2 linked regions of the Mus musculus genome follow. The protein of the gene in region 1 interacts with the protein of each later gene in a biochemical or structural test. Links are inferred from orthologs where the notes say so. Each region holds a gene or a part of one and is shown on either strand. Other genes may lie near its edges.

The links. The genes of interacting proteins can lie anywhere in the genome.
Region 2: the proteins of Gprasp1 (region 1) and Oprd1 form a complex in vitro, tested with the Homo sapiens proteins (2 studies listed by BioGRID and IntAct). The link is inferred for Mus musculus from reciprocal best matches to the Homo sapiens genes GPRASP1 and OPRD1.

The regions. Positions count from the first base shown.
Region 1 is NC_000086.7:135,737,977-135,745,491, forward strand, and holds the start of Gprasp1 (G-protein coupled receptor-associated sorting protein 1), read left to right. Parts: upstream 1-4,715; 5' UTR 4,716-5,002; intron 5,003-5,465; exon of another isoform or gene 5,466-5,546; intron 5,547-5,586; exon of another isoform or gene 5,587-5,638; intron 5,639-6,522; 5' UTR 6,523-6,599; intron 6,600-6,942; exon of another isoform or gene 6,943-7,200; coding exon of another isoform or gene 7,201-7,515. Other genes in the region: Armcx5 (armadillo repeat-containing X-linked protein 5), read left to right, coding at 7,201-7,515. UniProt on the Homo sapiens protein: Modulates lysosomal sorting and functional down-regulation of a variety of G-protein coupled receptors. Targets receptors for degradation in lysosomes via its interaction with BECN2.
Region 2 is NC_000070.6:132,137,659-132,148,888, reverse strand, and holds the start of Oprd1 (delta-type opioid receptor), read left to right. Parts: upstream 1-4,402; 5' UTR 4,403-4,503; coding exon 4,504-4,730; intron 4,731-11,230. UniProt on the Homo sapiens protein: G-protein coupled receptor that functions as a receptor for endogenous enkephalins and for a subset of other opioids.

The DNA.
Region 1 (7,515 bases):
CATACTATGAGCATGTTGGTAATGGCTACAATACCAAATGTAATGACTCCTTCTCCCACTGCATCTAATTAACCACCGTTAGTTCCTCAGACAGCTATGCTACTCCAAACGCCTCTGCCTATTTATAATGGAGTGGTCTGAAACCACAGCTGCTATGACTTCATAGGTGAAATAGCCATGCCACATACAGAAGACAGAAGATGGTGTTTCAAAGAGTTTATCTCAAAAACCAGCCTTATTTTCTTTCTGATAGCATTTTTGCAATGTTCCTTTGGAACCTTGAAAGGGAAATACAGATATTCCTTTAGAGATGAGTGGTCAACTGTCAGTTATTTTCAGCTCTTTGACCACTCTCCATGTTGTCACCCACTGCAAACAGAGCTGCCTCTTCATCTTTTCTTTTCTTTCCTTTTCTTTTCTTTTCTTTTCTTTTCTTTTCTTTTCTTTTCTTTTCTTTTCTTTTCTTTTCTTTCCTTTCCTTTCCTTTCCTTTCCCTTCCTTCCTTCCTTCCTTCCTTCCTTCCTTCCTTCCTTCCTCCCACCCTCCCTCCTTCTATCCCTTCTTTCTTTCTCTGTGTAACAAACAGCCTTAGCTGTCCTGGACTTGCTCTGTAGACCAGCCTGGCCTCAAACTCACAGAGATCCACCTGCCCCTGCCTCCCAAGATGCTGGGATTAAAGATGTTTGCTACCATTGCCAGGCTAAACAAGGATGAGAGAAGCACTAACATATGGGTATAAATGTAAATGTTTAGAGAAGAGGTGGTAGTTTATTCCTTTACTCCAAGCACTACAGAGGCAGGTCCAGCTCTGAGTTTGTAGCCAGGTCTGGTCTACATATCAACTTTCAGACCATCCAGATCTACACAGTGAGACACTTATCTAAAACCAAAACCAAAACCAAATCCACACATACCCATAAATCAGTGTGATTGTGTTTACTTAGCAAGACAACTTCCTCAGTAGAAATAGAAGCTTCCTCCCATGGGGCTGGTGAGATGGCTCAGTGGGTAAGAGCACCCGACTGCTCTTCCGAAGGTCCAGAGTTCAAATCCCAGCAACCACATGGTGGCTCACAATCTTCTGTAAGGAGTGTCTGAAGACAGCAACAGTGTATTTACATATAATAAATAAATCTTAAAAAAAAAAAGAGTGAGTTCCAGGTCAGCCAGGGCTATACAGAGAAACCCTGTCTCAAAAACCAAAAAAAAAAAAAAAAAAAAAAGAAGAAGAAGCTTCCTCCCTTGCACCCATGACTTTGTTAACTATGGAGTACTGACCAGTATTCCAGTACTTGGCATGGCTTCCCTCCTGGGAAATTAGTTTCAAATACAATTAAAGCAGTTCACTTTCCAAGTAGCTGTCATTCTGATATTGCAACACTAAGTAAATATTTTCTGACATGCCAACAAAGTAGTTCACAGAGTTCACAGCTTCCTAGGACCATTCATAGCTTTTCTTTCTCCAGTAGCCCAAATAGCATCCTATTTTGGCACTATGAAAGGTAACCAGGCAGTAGGGACCCTTCCAGCTAGCTGTCAGCTTGATTTCTTTGGAATCTGCGACCAAAATATCAAAGTTTGAAATGTGTTTAGCCATGGGAACCTATTTTGTTGTTGTTGTTGTTGTTGTTGTTGTTGATCTGGAAATAACCAAGAGCAATAGAAATTGGGTGTATTGGAAACCACTGAGGCTTCTTTGATCAACAACTCATAGTAAGGTACCTGATGTTTGGTACTAAGGTGTGTGTGTGTGTGTGTGTGTGTGTGTGTGTGTGTGTGTGTGTGTATTCATTATCCATTTATATACTCATGGACATATAATCTGGTCTGATTCCATTTCTCAGCTATTCTGAATACAGCCACAATGGACATGGATATGCAAGTATCTCTGTGGTGGATTATGGAGCTCTTTTGGAATGTTCTTGGGAATGGTATAAGTGAGTCACACAGTGCTTCTAATTTTTACTTTTTAAGAAACCCCCATGCTGATTTCCATAGTGGTTTCACCAGTTCTACCAGTTTACACTTCCACCAACAGTGGGTGGATAAGCTTTTTTTTCCCCCCATATCCCCATCAGGATTTGTCAAGAAAACAACTGGCACCAAACACTATTGAAGATGCAGCATATGTTTAAGGGTTTAAAGATACATTAAAGTTAAAAGGCTTACTAGGGGAAATGATAATGGCATTCTGTCGATGCGCCAGTAGCCAAAAAGACCCTGAAACTGGAAAATGGTTTGAGTGGATTTATCCAGAGTTGACCACTACTTCCTGTTTTCTCTTTCTTTCTTTCTTTCTTTCTTTCTTTCTTTCTTTCTTTCTTTCTTTCTTTCTTTCTTTCTATTAGATATTTTCTTCATTTACATTTCAAATGCTATCCCAAAAGTCCCCTATATCTTCCCCCCACCCTGCTCCCCTACCCACCCACTCCTGCTTCCTGGTACTATTCCTGGTACTGTACTGGGGCATATGATCTTCGCAAGACCAAGGGCCTCTCCTCCCATTGATGGCCGGCTAGGCCATCCTCTGCTACATATCCAACTAGAGACACAAGCTCTGGGGGGTACTGGTTAGTTCATATTGTTGTTCCACCTATAGGGTTGCAGACCCCTTTAGCTCCTTGGGTACTTTTTCTAGCTCATTCATTGGGGTCCCTGTGTTCCATCCAATAGCTGACTCTGAGCATCCACTTCTGTATTTGCTAGGCCCCATCATAGTCTCACAAGAGACAGCTATATCAGGGTCCTTTCAGCAAAATCTTTCTGGCATATGCAATAGTGTCTGGGTTTGGTGGTTGTTTATGGGATGGATCCCTGGGTGGGGCAGTCTCTGGATGGTCTTTCCTTCCGTCTCAGCTTTGGAACTTGTCTCTGTAACTCCTTCCATGGGTATTTTGTTCCCTATTCTAAGGAGGAATAAAGTATCCACATGTTGGTCTTCTTTCTTCTTGATTTTCTTGTGTTTTGCAAATTGTATCTTGGATAGTCTAAGTTTCTGGGCTAATATCCACTTATCAATGAGTGCATATCATGTGTGTTCTTTTGTGATTAGGTTACCTTACTCAGGATGATGCCCTCCAGTCCATCCATTTGCCTAAGTTAATACCAGCCTTATTTATAATAGCCAGAAGCTGGAAAGAACCCAGATGTCCCTCTTTCTTTCTTTCTTTCTTTCTTTCTTTCTTTCTTCCTTCCTTCCTTCCTTCCTTTCTTTCTTCCTTCCTTTTTCTCTTTTCTTTCCTTCTCTCCTCTTCTCTTCTCTTCTCTTCTCTCTCCCTCTCTCTATCTCTCTCTCTTTAACTGTTTTTAGGGCCCTGGGCTGGCCCATCTGGAGGGACCACTACCACCTATTTTTTACAATTATGTTTTATTGAGCCTCCCACCAAAACTATTTTCATCTTGTGTCCTGGGTCATGAAGATGGTCTGTCTGGACTGACCATCACCACCTAGTATTGTTCCTTATAGGCTGGTTATTCCTTCCAAAAGTTAACCTCCTGCCTCATGACATTATCAGGTTTTCTGATAATGTAGACTGGGACTGAGGGGAAACCATGCACTTTTATTAAGGCAATTTCAAAATTACAAACATCCCTGAAACAGGAAAAATGTCTCTCATCATAATCTACTAATGTCATAGCTCAGCTTAGAGTTGAGGCATACAGGACTGATGGGCTGGGACATTTCTAAGTGGTATACATGTTAGAAACACTTTCTGATTCTAAGGCTTATTTTAATTAAATTTATGTTCAAATAGATAATACAAACATGAGGCCCAGCATTCAAGATGCAAGGACTTATATAGTCAGAGATTTAGGGGGCAAGAAACGTGAGGGAACAAGCCCGGAGAAATCCACAGAGCAGGGACTGGTGTTGGTCCACGGGTACAAAGATACTTTGGTATTATGTCTTGTCAGTAAGAAGATTCTTGTTTTCCCAGTGCCTAGATTAAATCCAAGCCACTGCACCTTATGGTAGTGAGGTCATCCTGGAGTAGAACTCGTCTGCACAGTTCTTTTTCTCCCTGTTTTTCCTCTATCCTTACTTCATGTTATCTAAAACTATTTCAAAACAAGAAACATGCCGGACAATAAGAGCAAAAGATTTCAAGGGGTGGCAACAGGAAACATAAAAAGGGAGATTGAAAAACAAAACAAAACAAAACAAAAACGGTCTGGCAGCAGAGCAGTTTTCCATAGGTTCTGCCGCTGCAGCAAGAATTTTATGCAAACAAGCCCTTACAGGTGCATCACTGGCGGATTTTGCTTGTAGAAGGAACAGTTTAGAATTTGTTGGAATAAATGAGAATTTTTATTTGTAATTTCAGCGTTGAGAACCGCCCCACCCCCAGCATCGTTTCTACCTTGAGCCCCTCCCCTACCTAACCAGCTCACTTCAGTGGGCGGTGGGTTTAGTGAGGAACGTGTAAAAACACTAGAATTCTTTGCTATCCTTCCGCCCGGTAAGGCGGCCGCTTTTTCTTCTGACGCCACAGCGTGAAAACCGCATGCATTTCGAAATGGAAAGACATGTCTAAGAAGGAAGCTAAAACCGACATTTGGTAATCGCCTGCTTGCGGGTGCTTGGCGCGGTTTTCCCTAGTTCGGGATCAGAACCTAAGTGTCGCAGTGTGCGCCACAGTAGTATCACTCCGCTTCCCTAAGCCGGAACTCCTTAAATAACTCTAGCTCCTCCCTCTGCGGGCCTCCGTAATGACGTAGCCGCGCCTAGTGCGTCCCGGCGGATGTAGGTAGCTATGTAGTCGCTTCGTGAGGGACCGGAGAGAGGAGTGGGTACCGAAAGGTGACAGTAATTTGCTAGTCATGGCCCTTCATCTTGTCCTACATCCCAAGCTCCCGGCAAGCCCCTAAATTACAGTCGCCGCCATTGCCTCTGCTCCCTGCGGCGGACTGCCGACGGCGTTTGCCTGCCTCCTTTCTGTGTGGGAAGGCGCCGCCGGAGAGAACGCACCTAAGAAAACTGCCTTGGATTCAAGCAGAACAGGTCAGTAAGAAGGAGGGCATTGCTTGGGGTTGTGGTTGCGGGTTCCATGATTGGTGCGGGATTGGTGACCTGATTTTAGGGGGCGAGTGTTGGGAAGACAGACTAGGGAGGATGAGAAAAAGCTATCTACGTTTCCAGAAACTCGCTTCATCACGTTTGGGAAGGGAGATGGATGCAATGGCATCATCTACTGGGGAGATGGCGTACTTGTCAGAGAAAGGACTACCACCACTGATGAACGCAGTTGTCTGAGGAGCCTTGAGAATCAGGAAGGAGATACACAAAGGGGTTATAGATGTGGGAACATTAAATCTTGTGTTGGGTGTATTCGAAGATTGCACATTCTTATCTGACCATTAATTAACCATATCTTACTCAGTGCGATTTCATTTGATTTGGGGCTATCACACATTCATTTGTGTGGATAGATTTTGTGCCAAGTTTGCATTTCTCCACGTTTCAGGGCGGCAGATCAAAAGGGGAGGGGAGAAGATAAACAAAACTGACCTGATTTCTGTACTGTGGGAGAAAGCTGCAAGACTAGGTAGGGTTCTAGAATAATTTCTACATCTCCTCTTTTCCAGCCTTCCAGAAATGCCCTCCGCGTTACCCCAACTATGTTGCAGAATGTGATAGGTTTGTGTGGGTGGGTGGGGGATAATCATAAGAATGTGTAAGAAAATTGAAAATGATACTTTTCATTATTTCCCCAGCTTCCTGTTATTGTCAGGCGTTTCATCCCTACTGCTACCAGTACGACCAACTGTGCAGAGATGATTTAGTTGTCCCTTCATGGAAATGATCAGGCTTTAAGAATATAGCAGAGGAACGTGGAGATTTGGGGGTGTCATGGGGGGATGACAAAAAGAAAGGGAATCAGAGAATTCTTTACCAAACAAGTATCTGTATCCAGCAAGCATTTATTCCGTAATTACTGTTTCCTAAATTATACTCAGTAGTGCTGTTCTCATGTTTGTGGATTTCCATTGATAGACACATCCGGAGGGTTGTATAACTTGGCTGTTGTGAATGTTTGTAAAATAACTGAATGTGAAGCTAGGAGATAATGAGAAGGCAATTGTCCAGATTCGAGGATTAGTGTGAAGACAGACAAGGATCACTGAGACTAGAATGTCACACCCTTCTGTTTTGTCAGTTTCTCGATGACCTCTAGCTGGTCTGTGGATTCACTTAGGAGTCTTGGTCTAACTCTAGAGATAGATGCAGGATGGGAACATCTTCCTTTAATCCCCTCTTTCCTGTCCTGCTCTAACACTTCATTATCAACCGATTTTTCAACTAAGGGATTACCGAAACAGTCACTCAAGAAGACAATGGAGGGCCCCAAGGGAGGAGGAGGAAGAGGAGGAGGAACAGCTTTGAAGCTGGTTAATGGAAGGAGAGGAAGACCAGGAAGGGAAAAGCTAGACAAGCTTCTCTGAGAAGGCAAGAATAAGGGCCAGGAACCAAGGTCTGTATCCCAAGAGCTGAGTTTCTCTGTCCTCTTTATCTATCTATAGGTTTGCCAGATCTGCTGCAGGGCTTGTCGCCAGTGGAAACAGAGAAAGGAGGAAACAATCCCTTGGCAAGAGCGCAGGTTAGTATGAACGTGGGGACTCCTCGAGTAAGACCTATAGTATGGAACAGTAAAGATTTGGTTGGCTCCAGCCTAGGTCAGCAGATAGCCTCGGAATTTTGCAGCCTCTCGTGTCCATCCAGCTTTCCTATTCTTTCTGCCCTTATTGGTGTCTGCAAAGACAAATTGGTAGCACATGAAGGTATAGACAGTGGGTGAACTGAAAGGAGGAGTTGGCTCCTTGTCTCCTTCTTCCCCATAGAGCACTGAATTTCCATACTTAACTATGTCTCTGTGCTTATCAGCATGAGAAGAAAGCAAATTGGAAGAGACTTAAAGCCCCATTTCCTTCCTCCACCCCTAGGTCCAACTTCAGTGACAGATCTGATGGCCTTGGAGTGGCTGAAGACCACCACCCTCCACAGGCCTGCGCCCCAGCACAGCTATCCTTTATCTTGAGTGAGCTTCCTCAACATGCTGTCTATATGATTGGCAGAAACTGTAGTTGGAAAGGGGCTGAATGACTACTGGACTTTATATGAAAACACCTACTTGGGGCTGACTTTCGGGCAAGGCTGAGACAGGGGCATATTTATATTAAGCTTTGCCTTTCTCTCGAACCATGATTGGCTCTAAAACTAAAAGGAAAGCTAGAGAAGAGTCTGGGGCTTCCTCAAAACCTGGAACCAATAGCCCTGCCAATGCTAAAGGAAAAGCCAAGAATCAGACCACTAAAGCCGTTAAGGCAGAACCAAAAGAAGAATGGGGGAACCAGGCTGAGGCTAGGGATGAAGCAGTGGCCAGGACACAGCCAGCCATTTCCACTGAGCCCAAGACTGTGACCTGGAAAGTAAAAAAAAAGAAAGATAAGACTAATGCTAGAGTCATGGCTCAGGCTAAGACAGAACTCCCGGCAGGGCCTGCTTTAGTGCCTCAC
Region 2 (11,230 bases), on another chromosome or scaffold:
CACGATGCAGATCTTTGTGAAGACCCTTACGGGGAAAACCATCACACTCGAGGTTGAACCCTCGGACACTATAGAAAATGTAAAGGCCAAGACCCAGGATAAGGAAGGACTTCCTCCTGATCAGCAGAGGCTGATCTTTGCTGGTAAGCAGCTGGAAGATGGCCGGACTTTGTCTGACTACAACATTCAAAGGGAGTCCACCCTTCATCTTGTGTTGAGCCTTCTTGGTGGTGCTAAGAAAAGAAAGAAGAAGTCTTACACCACTCCCAAGAAGAATAAGCATAAGAGGAAGAAGGTTAAGTTGGCTGTGCTGAAATACTATAAGGTGGATGAAAATGGCAAAATTAGCCGACTTCGTTGAGAGTGTCCTTCTGATGAATGTGGTGCTGGAGTTTTTACGGGAAGCCACTTTGACAGGCATTACTGTGGCAAGTGTTGTCTGACTTACTGCTTCAACAAACCAGAAGACAAGTAGTTGTGTATGCGTTAATAAAAAGAAGAAACTCAAAAAAAATAGCTACTGTATGGGATAATTTAGTGCCAACCCTCAATTTTCTTATCTGTAAAGTGGGACAATAAAAAGAGTATAATGTTAAATGGTGATCCATGGATAAATTACTCACCACAGTGCTTGGAGCTGATTTACAGTTCAAAGGCTTAGTTCATTATTGTCATGGTGGAAAACATGGTGGCATGCAGACAGACATGATCATGGGGAGTTCAGAGTTCTACATCTGGATCTGCAGACAGTAGGATGAGAGAGCCACTCTGCCTCTGCCTCTGCCTCCTCCTCCTCCTCCTCTTCCTCCTCCTCCTCCTCCTCCTCCTCCTCCTCCTCTTCTTCTTCTTCTTCTTCTTCTTCTTCTTCTTCTTCTTCTTCTTCTTCTTCTTCTTCTTCTTCTTCTTCTTCTTCTCCTTCTTAAGATTTATATTTATTTTTTGTATGTAAGTACACTGCTGCTGTCTTCAGACACACCAGAAAAGGGCATTAGATCCCATTACAGATAGCTGTGAGCCACCATGTGGTTGCTGGGAATTGAACTCAGGATCTCGGGAAGAGCAGTCTGTGCTCTTAACCACTGAGCCATCTCTCTATCCCCCTGACTTGGGCTACTAAAACCTCAGAGCCCACCCCTAGTGATACACTTCTTCCAACAAGGCCATGCCTCCTAATCCTTCCAAGTAGTGCCACTCCCTCATGACTGAGCATTCAAACATTTGAGCCTATGAGGGCCATTCTTATCCAACCACCACATGTAGTATAGCTGTTTCTTCCTTCAAATATCCTGTTGACAGCCAGGCATGGTGGCTCCTGTCTGTAATTCCAGCACTCCAGAGCGAAGTATAGTCAAGGGATCAGCACAGGTTTGAGGCTAACCTAGTCTACATAGTGAGTCCCAGGGTTGTACAGTATGATCTTATTTAAAAAGGAAAAAGGAGGGAGGAGCTGGAGAGATGGCTCAGCGGTTAAGAGCACTGACTGCTCTTCCAGAGGTCCTGAGTTCAATTCCCAGCAACCACATGGTGGCTCACAACCATCTGTAATGGAATCTGATGCCCTCTCCTGGTGTGTCTGAAAACAGCTACAGTGTACCAACATACATGAAATAAATAAATATTTTTTAAAAAAGGAAAGAAAAACAAAAAACACCCCCCCCCAAAAAAACCCGACCCTTGGAGGTGTTGAGTGGGAAGGCTCATGAACTCACAAGAAATCAAACATTAGGACGCTCAGCAAACTCACTACAGGCTCTGAGCTTCTTGGTTCAGGTCACAGGAATAGCAGAAAGTTGCTGGGGAGAGGAGACTTTTCAGTGTTGGAGATCCCTGCAAGTTCTGCCTGGGATTTCCCCCTAAACTGTCATCCATGAGTTGGTGGGGCTTTTTGGTGATGAAACCACCTTAGACTTTCACACCCCAGTAGGTAACCCTGCCCCTGTAAGTAAAGCAATAACCAAATCAGACTAGGATAGATTTTATTCTTCGATCCTTGCCCTCTCTATCTGACCAGACAAAGACTTCCCAGGCATGCAACAGCTTGATAGAGAGAACGTTCTGGAACAGCTGGGGACCTTAAAGAAAAGGATGGCTCAGGATCTTGGCTGGAGAATGAGTATAGGAAGAGAGAGCCAGCCATACAACCTCCCTTCATCTGCTATTCTAACAGCACAACTGGTCCATAAGGTGGCCTTGGTTTTTAATTACGTTTATTATTATTATTATTATTATTATTATTATTATTATTATTATTATTATTATTATAAGACAAGGTCTCACTATGCAGGCCTGGCTGGATTGGAACTGGTTATGTAGACTGGGCTGGCTTTGAACTCACAGAGCTCCACTTGTCTCTGTCTCCCGAGTGCTAGGGTTAAAGGTTTATGCCGCCATGCCCCGCTGTTGTTAAATTTTTATTTTATGTGTGTTTACCTGCTTGAATGTCTTTGTACTGTGTGTATGCAGTGTTCATGGAGGCCAGAAGAGGGCATCAGAGCCCCTAGAACCAGAGCACAGACGGTTGTGAATCACCCACCATATGAGTGCTGGGAGCTGAACTCCCGGCCTTTGCAAGAGCACCAAGTACTCTTAGCCACTGAGCCATCTCTCCAGCCCTACTTAAGTTGCTTGTCTTAGTTAGGGATTCTATTGCTGTGATTAGAAAAACAGGATCAAAAGCAACTAGGGAGGAAAGAGTTTCTTTGGCTTACACTTCCACATCACAGCCTGTCCTCTAAGGAACTCCAGGAAGAACTGCAGCAGAAGCCATGGAGGAACACTGCTCACAGGTCTGCTCAACTTGCTTTTTTTACACAACCCAGGATCATCTGCCTAGGGGTGGAACCGCCCATCAATCATCCATCAAGAAAATGGCGCACAGACTTGCCTATCGGTACATTTTTTTTTTTAAAGATTTACTTATTTATTATATGTAAGTACACTGTAGCTGTCTTCAGACACTCCAGAAGAGGGCGTCGGATCTTGTTACAGATGGTTGTGAGCCACCATGTGGTTGCTGGGATTTGAACTCTGGACCTTCAGAAGAGCAGTCGGGTGCTCTTACCCACTGAGCCATCTCACCAGCCCCTATCGGTACATCTTAAGGGGCATTTTCTCAGTTAAGATTCCCTCTTCCCAGGTATGCTTAGTCGAGGAGGAGGGAAACAAACCAATCCAACACAAACACCACGGAGCTCCCTGCTGTGACCCTGGCTGTCTTCAGTCTTTTTGACTTGTAGGACCTTTATATATGTTTTTCTTTTTTCTAGAAGGCTCTTCCTATTTCTTCCCTAAATTAGTCTCCCCCACCTCTAAATCCACACAACACCTTAAGTGTCATTTCTTTTAGGAATATTCTCCTGACCCTACCCTGCCCCGACATTCCTTGAATAGGACTTCATTGTGTTTTTTTAGAATCGATGCATCTCTTCCGGTCTGAGCTGTAAGCTCTTGGGAGCCGGGCCTTTGATTATGCACACCGATGTACCTGGCTCTTCTGTTAGGCGCCCTCAGAGTGAATGTGGAGCTAGTGAACTGGGCGCAGGAAAGTGTGGCTGATAACGGATGTTTGTGGTTTTATTTATCGCTCAAGCAGCCTGCTAGCTCAGAGCAATGAGCCAGACAGGAAAGTTGTGTCTCTAATAACATACACACATCTGTCCAGATAGGTGTGACCTTTTTCAGCTTGATGTAGTGAGATGGTTAGTGACCTTGATTGCGGCTTATGTCTGCCATGTCCGGTGCCAAGCTGTACAGACCCAGGTGGGCTTATTTCCAGTGTCTCCCCTTGAGGTTGTAGCTGATCATATTACTAGTTTTCATCCGGAGCCTTTGGGGGAACTGGACGGTTTTGTTTTTGTTTCTTGGTCAGGAATCACTTGGCAGTTCTAGAAGACACGGCAAGGAGCAGAGCGCACACAGTACACGGGGGTGGTGGTGGTGGTGGTGGTGGTGGTGGTGGTGGTGGTGGAAATCTGAGTTCTTTACTCCGTTGTCTTCATCTCCCCAAAACCCTCTGAAGGCGGCAGGAGATTTTCTTCATCGTGCAGTCACAGAGAATGAACTTGAGAGTGCTTAAGCGGCTCGCTCAAGGTTACTCCCATCGTCCGTGAAGAGGCGGGAGGCGGGATTCGCATCCAGGTTCTTCTGACTCCGAAGTGGCACGGGGGTGGGGCGGGAGGCTGGGCCGGGCTGGGGGCACCTGGAGTCAGCGGAGCCCAGGCAGGGAGCGCGCGCGAGGCCTCTCTGGCCCAGCTCGGAGCCCGGTGGTGCAGCGCCCGCCCCCGATCGCGGGCGCAGACTGGCGGCCGCCTCCGGACCACGTGGTGCGCGCGGCGGCTCGGGGCTCCCCGGGCTTGGGCGAGCACTGCGGGCGGTCGACCGGGCGGAGGAGGCGGGAGCGAGCGCTGCAGCCTGCGGCGTCGGGGCCGTGGCCTCCGTTTTCCGCGCGCCACTCGCTGGGTCCCTGCGCCCAGGGCGCACGGTGGAGACGGACACGGCGGCGCCATGGAGCTGGTGCCCTCTGCCCGTGCGGAGCTGCAGTCCTCGCCCCTCGTCAACCTCTCGGACGCCTTTCCCAGCGCCTTCCCCAGCGCGGGCGCCAATGCGTCGGGGTCGCCGGGAGCCCGTAGTGCCTCGTCCCTCGCCCTAGCCATCGCCATCACCGCGCTCTACTCGGCTGTGTGCGCAGTGGGGCTTCTGGGCAACGTGCTCGTCATGTTTGGCATCGTCCGGTGAGTCAGCCGAGGGCGTCGCGGGGTTTGGTCCCAGGGTCAGAGTGGACTCTACTCTTTGTAGACCAGGATACCCAACCCTGACTCCCCGGGTTCCTGAATGTCCTGCACAGAGGCCAGGTCCTCTGAGATTATGAGGACAAGGCGTGTGTGTGTGTGTGTGTGTGTGTGTGTGTGTGTGCTTGCACTAGCCTAACTACATAACACTTAATCATCCTTGACATCTCTTTGCTTCTGCATCATGGAGGTGGGACAGTTTGGCAACACTTTGTGTGTCTGCCGCGCACGCAGTTTGTGATTGGGCAGTTTGACGGTAGCGTGTGTGTTCGATCCTCTGAAACCTTGCAAGGGTGAGCTGAGGTGCTCTACAAAATACCTTAGGTCTTTGGAGCATACAACAGGGACAGACTGTCTGCTCCGGGCTGTGGGGACACGCCCCAAGTCACATTTAGTAGTCGGTCTTCTGTGGTTGCTGTGTGTGTGCTTGTCCCAAGCCATCAGTTTGTAATTCTGTATGAGACTGAGAGTGTATTTGCATTGTTTCTTGTCAAACCTCTAGGTCATAGGTGATGGAGGCACCCGGGATGACTTTGAACACCAGTCTTTGTGCTGCGTGTTCTCTGATGGAGAGCCCCGTAGTTCCTGTGAACTGGCCATGGGGTTCTCTCTTCCCTTCCCCAGTGGCCATGTGGTCAGGAACTCGGGATATGATTCAGGGCAGATTTATCCTCCTTGAGGCCTGGGCTACAGAATGAACTTAAGGCCAGCTAGAGAAGAGAGAGAGGGAGGGAGGGAGGGAGGGAGGGAGGGAGAGAGAGAGAGAGAGAGAGAGAGAGAGAGAGAGAGAGAGAGAGAGATTATTAGTAAGGGCTTTAGGGGCCACAGACTGTACGCTTAATTGATAGCTTCTGCAGCATGTGTGAATCCTTACATTAGTTTGTAGTGTTCAGTCCCCAGCACACTACACACTGGACATGGTGGTCCCACGGCTGTAATCCCAGTCCTGGGGGGTGTTGAAGCAGAAGGCTCAGAAGTTCAAAGTCATGCTTTGGTTACATAGAGAATTTGAGGCCAGACTAGGATAATGGGCTTGGGGTATAGCTAAATGGCAGGGTACTTGCCTCCAGACAGGCAAGGCTGAGAACTGCCTAAATTAACAAAGCAAAATGTCTCCAACCCATCTGTACCTGTGGGCGCACTGATGTAAGTGAAGCACCCCCTGCAGACCCCAGACCGAGGTAAGGGCTCATAGCAGGCTCCACAATATGCAATAAGCAAACGAGAGGTTTTGCTTTCCTCTCTGTTTGCTGCCAAGGCGCCAGGGGCTGCTGAGATGAGTTTTGAGATTTGGGAGCACTAAGACCCTGTCTTGTTTAGACAGCATGTGTCTCTTGCCTCTGTCCCCTCTCTTGCTCAGATTAGGGGTTCAGATCCTGGACTCTCATCCAGAAGACATTCCATAAAGATGATGGAGTGCAGAGGTAAAGGTCATGGCTGTGGGCCAGGTGGTACCCTGTTTCTATCCCAACTTCAACATGTTGTAACAATGTGGCTTTGGCCAAACAGCTCACCTTCCCCAAGCCTCATTTATCTCATTTGAAAATATACGGTGATTTAGAATAGCCTGTTGGGGCCAGGCAGTGGTGGTGCACGCCTTTAATCCCAGCACTCGGGAGGCAAAGGCAAGCAGATCTCTGTGAGTAGTTCAAGACCAGCCTGGTCTATAGAGTGAGTTCCAGGACAACCAAGGCTACACAGAGAAACCAAACTTCCCCAAGCCCCATTACCCACCTCCCCCCAAAAGCCCCACAATAGTCTGTTGGGAAGATTAAACGGAGGCATGCAGGTAATGGCCTAATAGCAGGCACTGGGAAGCGTCCTAGGCCTTTGGTGTGTGTTGGGGGTCCGGATTAACCAGTACAGCTGCAGCTGCTGCAGGTGTGCGGCGTGGGTAGCTGGGGCCCTGTTGTCTGTAGTTTCCACAGTGGGCCCTGTCTCTGGTCCTGCAAGGGCACACGTTTTGTCAGTCAACAAATATAACAATACTAATTGCTGTTAATCATCGACACACCTGTCCAGCCTCAGGTTTCTTTCTCTTTTTTTTTTTGGCACAGCCTTGACTGTGTTCACGATGTAGAACCAGGCTGGCCTTGAAGTCACCTGATAGAGATCCACATGCCTCGCCCCCTACTGAAATTAAAGGTGTGTTCCACCACACTGGGCATGAGAGCCCTTAACGCCCAGACTCTGAGCACAAGCCTCCCGTGGCCTCTGGCCCCTAACAGCCATGCTCTAGGGACCCAAGGTTAGTTGTGACTCTAGGATCAAATGCAACTTCCTAGGGCTGTGGAATCCAGAGCAGGGACTTGATTTAGCCAGAGGAGGTGATACCTGGACTGTGAGGTGTCTGAGATGCTGCAGTTGGCTGTATGGAGAGGCAGGGCGGGGTGGGGCATCTCAGGCAGCTAGAACGGCTCAGACTGTAGAGGTCTAGAAGGGAGCAGAGGGTTTCACCTGAGGCCTCGGTGGCCATGAAGGCAGAGAGGCTACAGGATAAAGACACGAAAACCATAAAAGTGGTGTCCTTTTCCCTGGAGTGGTCGGGATCATCAGAGGCGGAAGGGTTGTCCGGATTGCCGGGAAGCAGAGGCGACCGCTGTGTTCTGAGCTTCAGTTGTGCCTGGAGCCAGTCTGAGTCTACCAACTTAGTCTCTGCTGTTCAGAAATCCCGAGAAGTTGCAGAGAGATGTAGGAGGAGTGCCACAGAGCATAGGGACAGGGCGATCAGGGGGAAAGGAATGAGACTCTAAGGGGAAGGCTTGGAGACAGGCCAGGGTGGTCGGGACAGACCATGAGCTGGGGCTCTGGCTGCTAGTCTGGATGTGAAATTGGAGTCTGGACAGGTTCGTGGCCCCAAGCTCGGGCCAGCCATGCTGGGAAGTCAAGGCGCTTTGAATGTCAGGAGCATCAGGAGAGCCATCCATGAAGAATGATGGTCAAGAGGATGGGTCTGGTGAAGGGGTGGAGCGAGTGTTGAGGAATTAGAGGCTAGTGCCGGGCGATGGGAGGAGCCCTGGACAGGTAACCAAACCCCCTGCCTCCAGCTTCCTTAACCTCTCTCTGAAACTCAAGCCTGCTAGCCCTAACAGGAAGGCAGAAACTGGCCCAATGACTTTGGATGAAGCAAAACGGGAGGAGTGGAGAGTGAGCTGAGGCCAGGGCCTGCCGGTCTTGCCCAGAATCTGCCATTTCCCAGGTCTTAGGATCATTCCCCGGGGAGCATGTGAGTCACAGACACAGCGGTGGGAAGAGTCGCCAAGGACACAGAGTCTCTCCTGAGCTTCTTCTGGAGTCTAGGGATTCTCCAACCTGCACTTGAGTCCCACAGTGGGCTCTTCTGTTCTCATTCATAGACTAGAACATGGGCTCAGAGGCAGCAAGTGCCTCTCACCACAAAGGCGTTGCAAGCTCAGCTTTTGTTCTGTGACAGGGTCTCCTGTAGCCAAGGCTGGTCCCAACTTGCCATATTGTTGAGGATGAATGTTAACGTCCCCTCTTCCTGTCTCATCTACTGTTCAAATAATAGGGTTACAGACACACACCACCATGCCCATCTTAGACCTGGTCTTTCTGAGCCCCCAAACCTTAACCACTCGGCCTGTGCTAGGCTTGAGATGCACAGAGAGCAGGCTAGGGCTAGGTAAATCTCAAGGCCTCGGTATTTGATATCAGCAGCTGCAAACCTGGACATTAGAGCCACACAGGGGCCATAACACTGTGTCCATCACACAGTGACCATCATAGTGACTATTACACAATGAGCATCAAACAGGGGCCATCATCAGACGGTGACATTTTTCTTTTCTCTTTCTTTCTTTCTTTCTTTCTTTCTTTCTTTCTTTCTTTCTTTCTTTCTTCCTTCCTTCCTTCCTTCCTTCCTTCCTTTCTTTCTTTCTTTTTTTTTTTTTGAGACAGGGTTTCTCTGTATAGCCCTGGCTGTCCTGGAACTTACTGTGTCGACCAGGCTGGCCTCGAACTCAGAAATCTGCCTGCCTCTGCCTCCCAAGTGCTGGGATTAAAGGCATGCGCCACCAACACCTGGCTAGTGACATTTTTCTAAGTGAGCTTAAGCAATACATATATTATCTCTCTATGCCTCAGTGTTCTGCTCTGTGGAATGGGAGGGTGGTAGACCCTTACAGGGTGAGAGTAAGGAAGTCATGAGGTGCCAACCAGCTCCAGGCGTTCAGTAGCTGTTCGGAGGCAGTCTGTGTAAAGCTGGCCCTGTCGGGGAGGGGTAAGGCTCCCCTCTCATTCAGTCACCATTTACTAAGCCGCGGAGGAGCTCTGGCTGGGTGCTACAGGGGAACTTTATCAGGTCGATATCAGAAGCTTTCTTTTATATTAAAGATAGCTAGATAGTTACTTCAGGACCAAAGGAGACCATTCAGTAGAGGTTGCTATTACCCATAATCTTACTGCAGAGAAAAAGCTTAGTCATTTGTGTATATTTCTTTCTCATCTTTGCTTCTAGATGCACACACACACACACACACACACACACACACACACACACTTGTTTTTATGAAATTAAGATTGCTTAGGGAAATCAGGATCCAGTCATATGGATTTTGTAAGATTGTGTAAATGATAATAGTGAGATTTTTTTCTCAGTAGCCCACACTGGGTTTCAGTTTCTGATCATCCTGCCTTCTAAGAGATACAAAATTGAAACCTTGTTTCCAAATAACAAAACCAAAGGGATAAGGGAAACTTTTTCGGGTTTTTTTTTGTTTTGTTTTGTTTTGTTTTGTTTTTTTTTTTTTTTTTTGGTTTGGTTGGTTTGTTTGTTTTTTAAAATTTTTTAAAGATTTATTTATTTATTATATGTAAGTACATTGTAGCTGTCTTCAGACACTCCAGAAGAGGGAGTCAGATCTCCTTACGGGTGGTTGTGAGCCACCATGTGGTTGCTGGGATTTGAACTCTGGACCTTCGGAAGAGCAGTCGGGTGCTCTTACCCACTGAGCCATCTCACCAGCCCGTTTGGTTTGTTTTTGTTTTTGTTTTTCGAGACAGGGTTTCTCTGTATAGTCCTGGCTGTCCTGGAACTCACTTTGTAGATCAGGCTGGCCTCAAACTCAGAAATCTGCCTGCTTCTGCCAAGGAAACCATTTTTTTTTTTTTAAAGCTGGTTTAGGTTAGAGAGACGGCTCAGGTGTAGGCAGCACTTCCTGCTCTTCCAGAGGACCCAGGTTCAAACCTCAGCACAGGTATGGCAGTTTAGTCTTCTGTAACTCCAGGCTGACACCCTCTTCTGGCTTCTGAGGGTACTGTATGAGCATGGTGCGTAGACAAACTAGCTGGCAAAGCACTCATACACATAAGATAAAAATAAATGTTTTTAAAAGCTCATGGATTTTGATAGCTATGTGAGTGTATCCTTCTATTGAGCAGCTTGCATTTTAAAAGCATTTGCTATTTTTACTTTTTAGAGATCTATTAATTTTATTTTATGAGTATAAGTATTTTGCTTTCATATGTGTATGTGTATGTACCATGTGCATGCCTGATGCCCAAGTGAGTCAGAAGAAGGCAACAAATCTCTTGGAACTGGAACTAATGGATGGTTGTGAACTTTCATGCAGATGCTGGGAATCGAACCTGGGTCCTCGGCAACACCAACAAGTGTTCCTAACCTCCAAGTCATCCCCCCCCCCCCCCCCCCCCCGAGACAGGGTTTCTCTGTGTAGCCCTGGATGGCCTGGAACTCCCTCTGTAGACCAGGCTGACCTTGAACTCAGAAATCTGCCTGCCTCTGCCTCCCAAGTGCTGGGATTAAAGGCATGTGCTACCACTGCCTGGCCCTCGGAGTCATTTTTCCAGGCCTGCCATTGTCCTTTTCTTTTAATTTTAAATTAGATTTAATTTCATGTGTGGGTGTTTTACTTGAGTGTTTGTACGTGCACCACATACATGCCTGCTTCTTGCAGAGGCCAAAAGAGGGCATCGCATCCCATGACACTGGAGTTATAAGTGGTTGAGAACCAACCAATGGGTGCTGGGAATTGAACCTCGAGCCTCTGTAGGAACTACTGTGCTCTTTAATGCTGAGTTGTCTCTTCAGTGTAGAGTGGGCTAGTTGGGGTATTCTTTCTTGTTGGGGGAAGGCATTCAAGACAAGGTTTCTTTGTGTATCCCTGGCTGTCCTAGGACTCACTCTGTAGACCAGGCTGGCCTCGAACTTGGAGATCAGACTGCTTCTGCCTCCTGAGTGCGGAGACTGAAGGTGTGTGCCACCCCGCCTGGCTTCGACGACTATTTTGAATATTTGTGGTTGTAGACTCCTCCTACAATTTCTGTACAATCTTTTCTTGCAGTCAAACCTCTTTAAGGAAGAACTGGCTGCTGTCCCATACAGAGAGCTTCCTGTTGCTGAAGGGATAAAGCAGACATAAGAAAGCCATCAGTGGAAGTTTGGTGCCAGAGATTCAGATAGA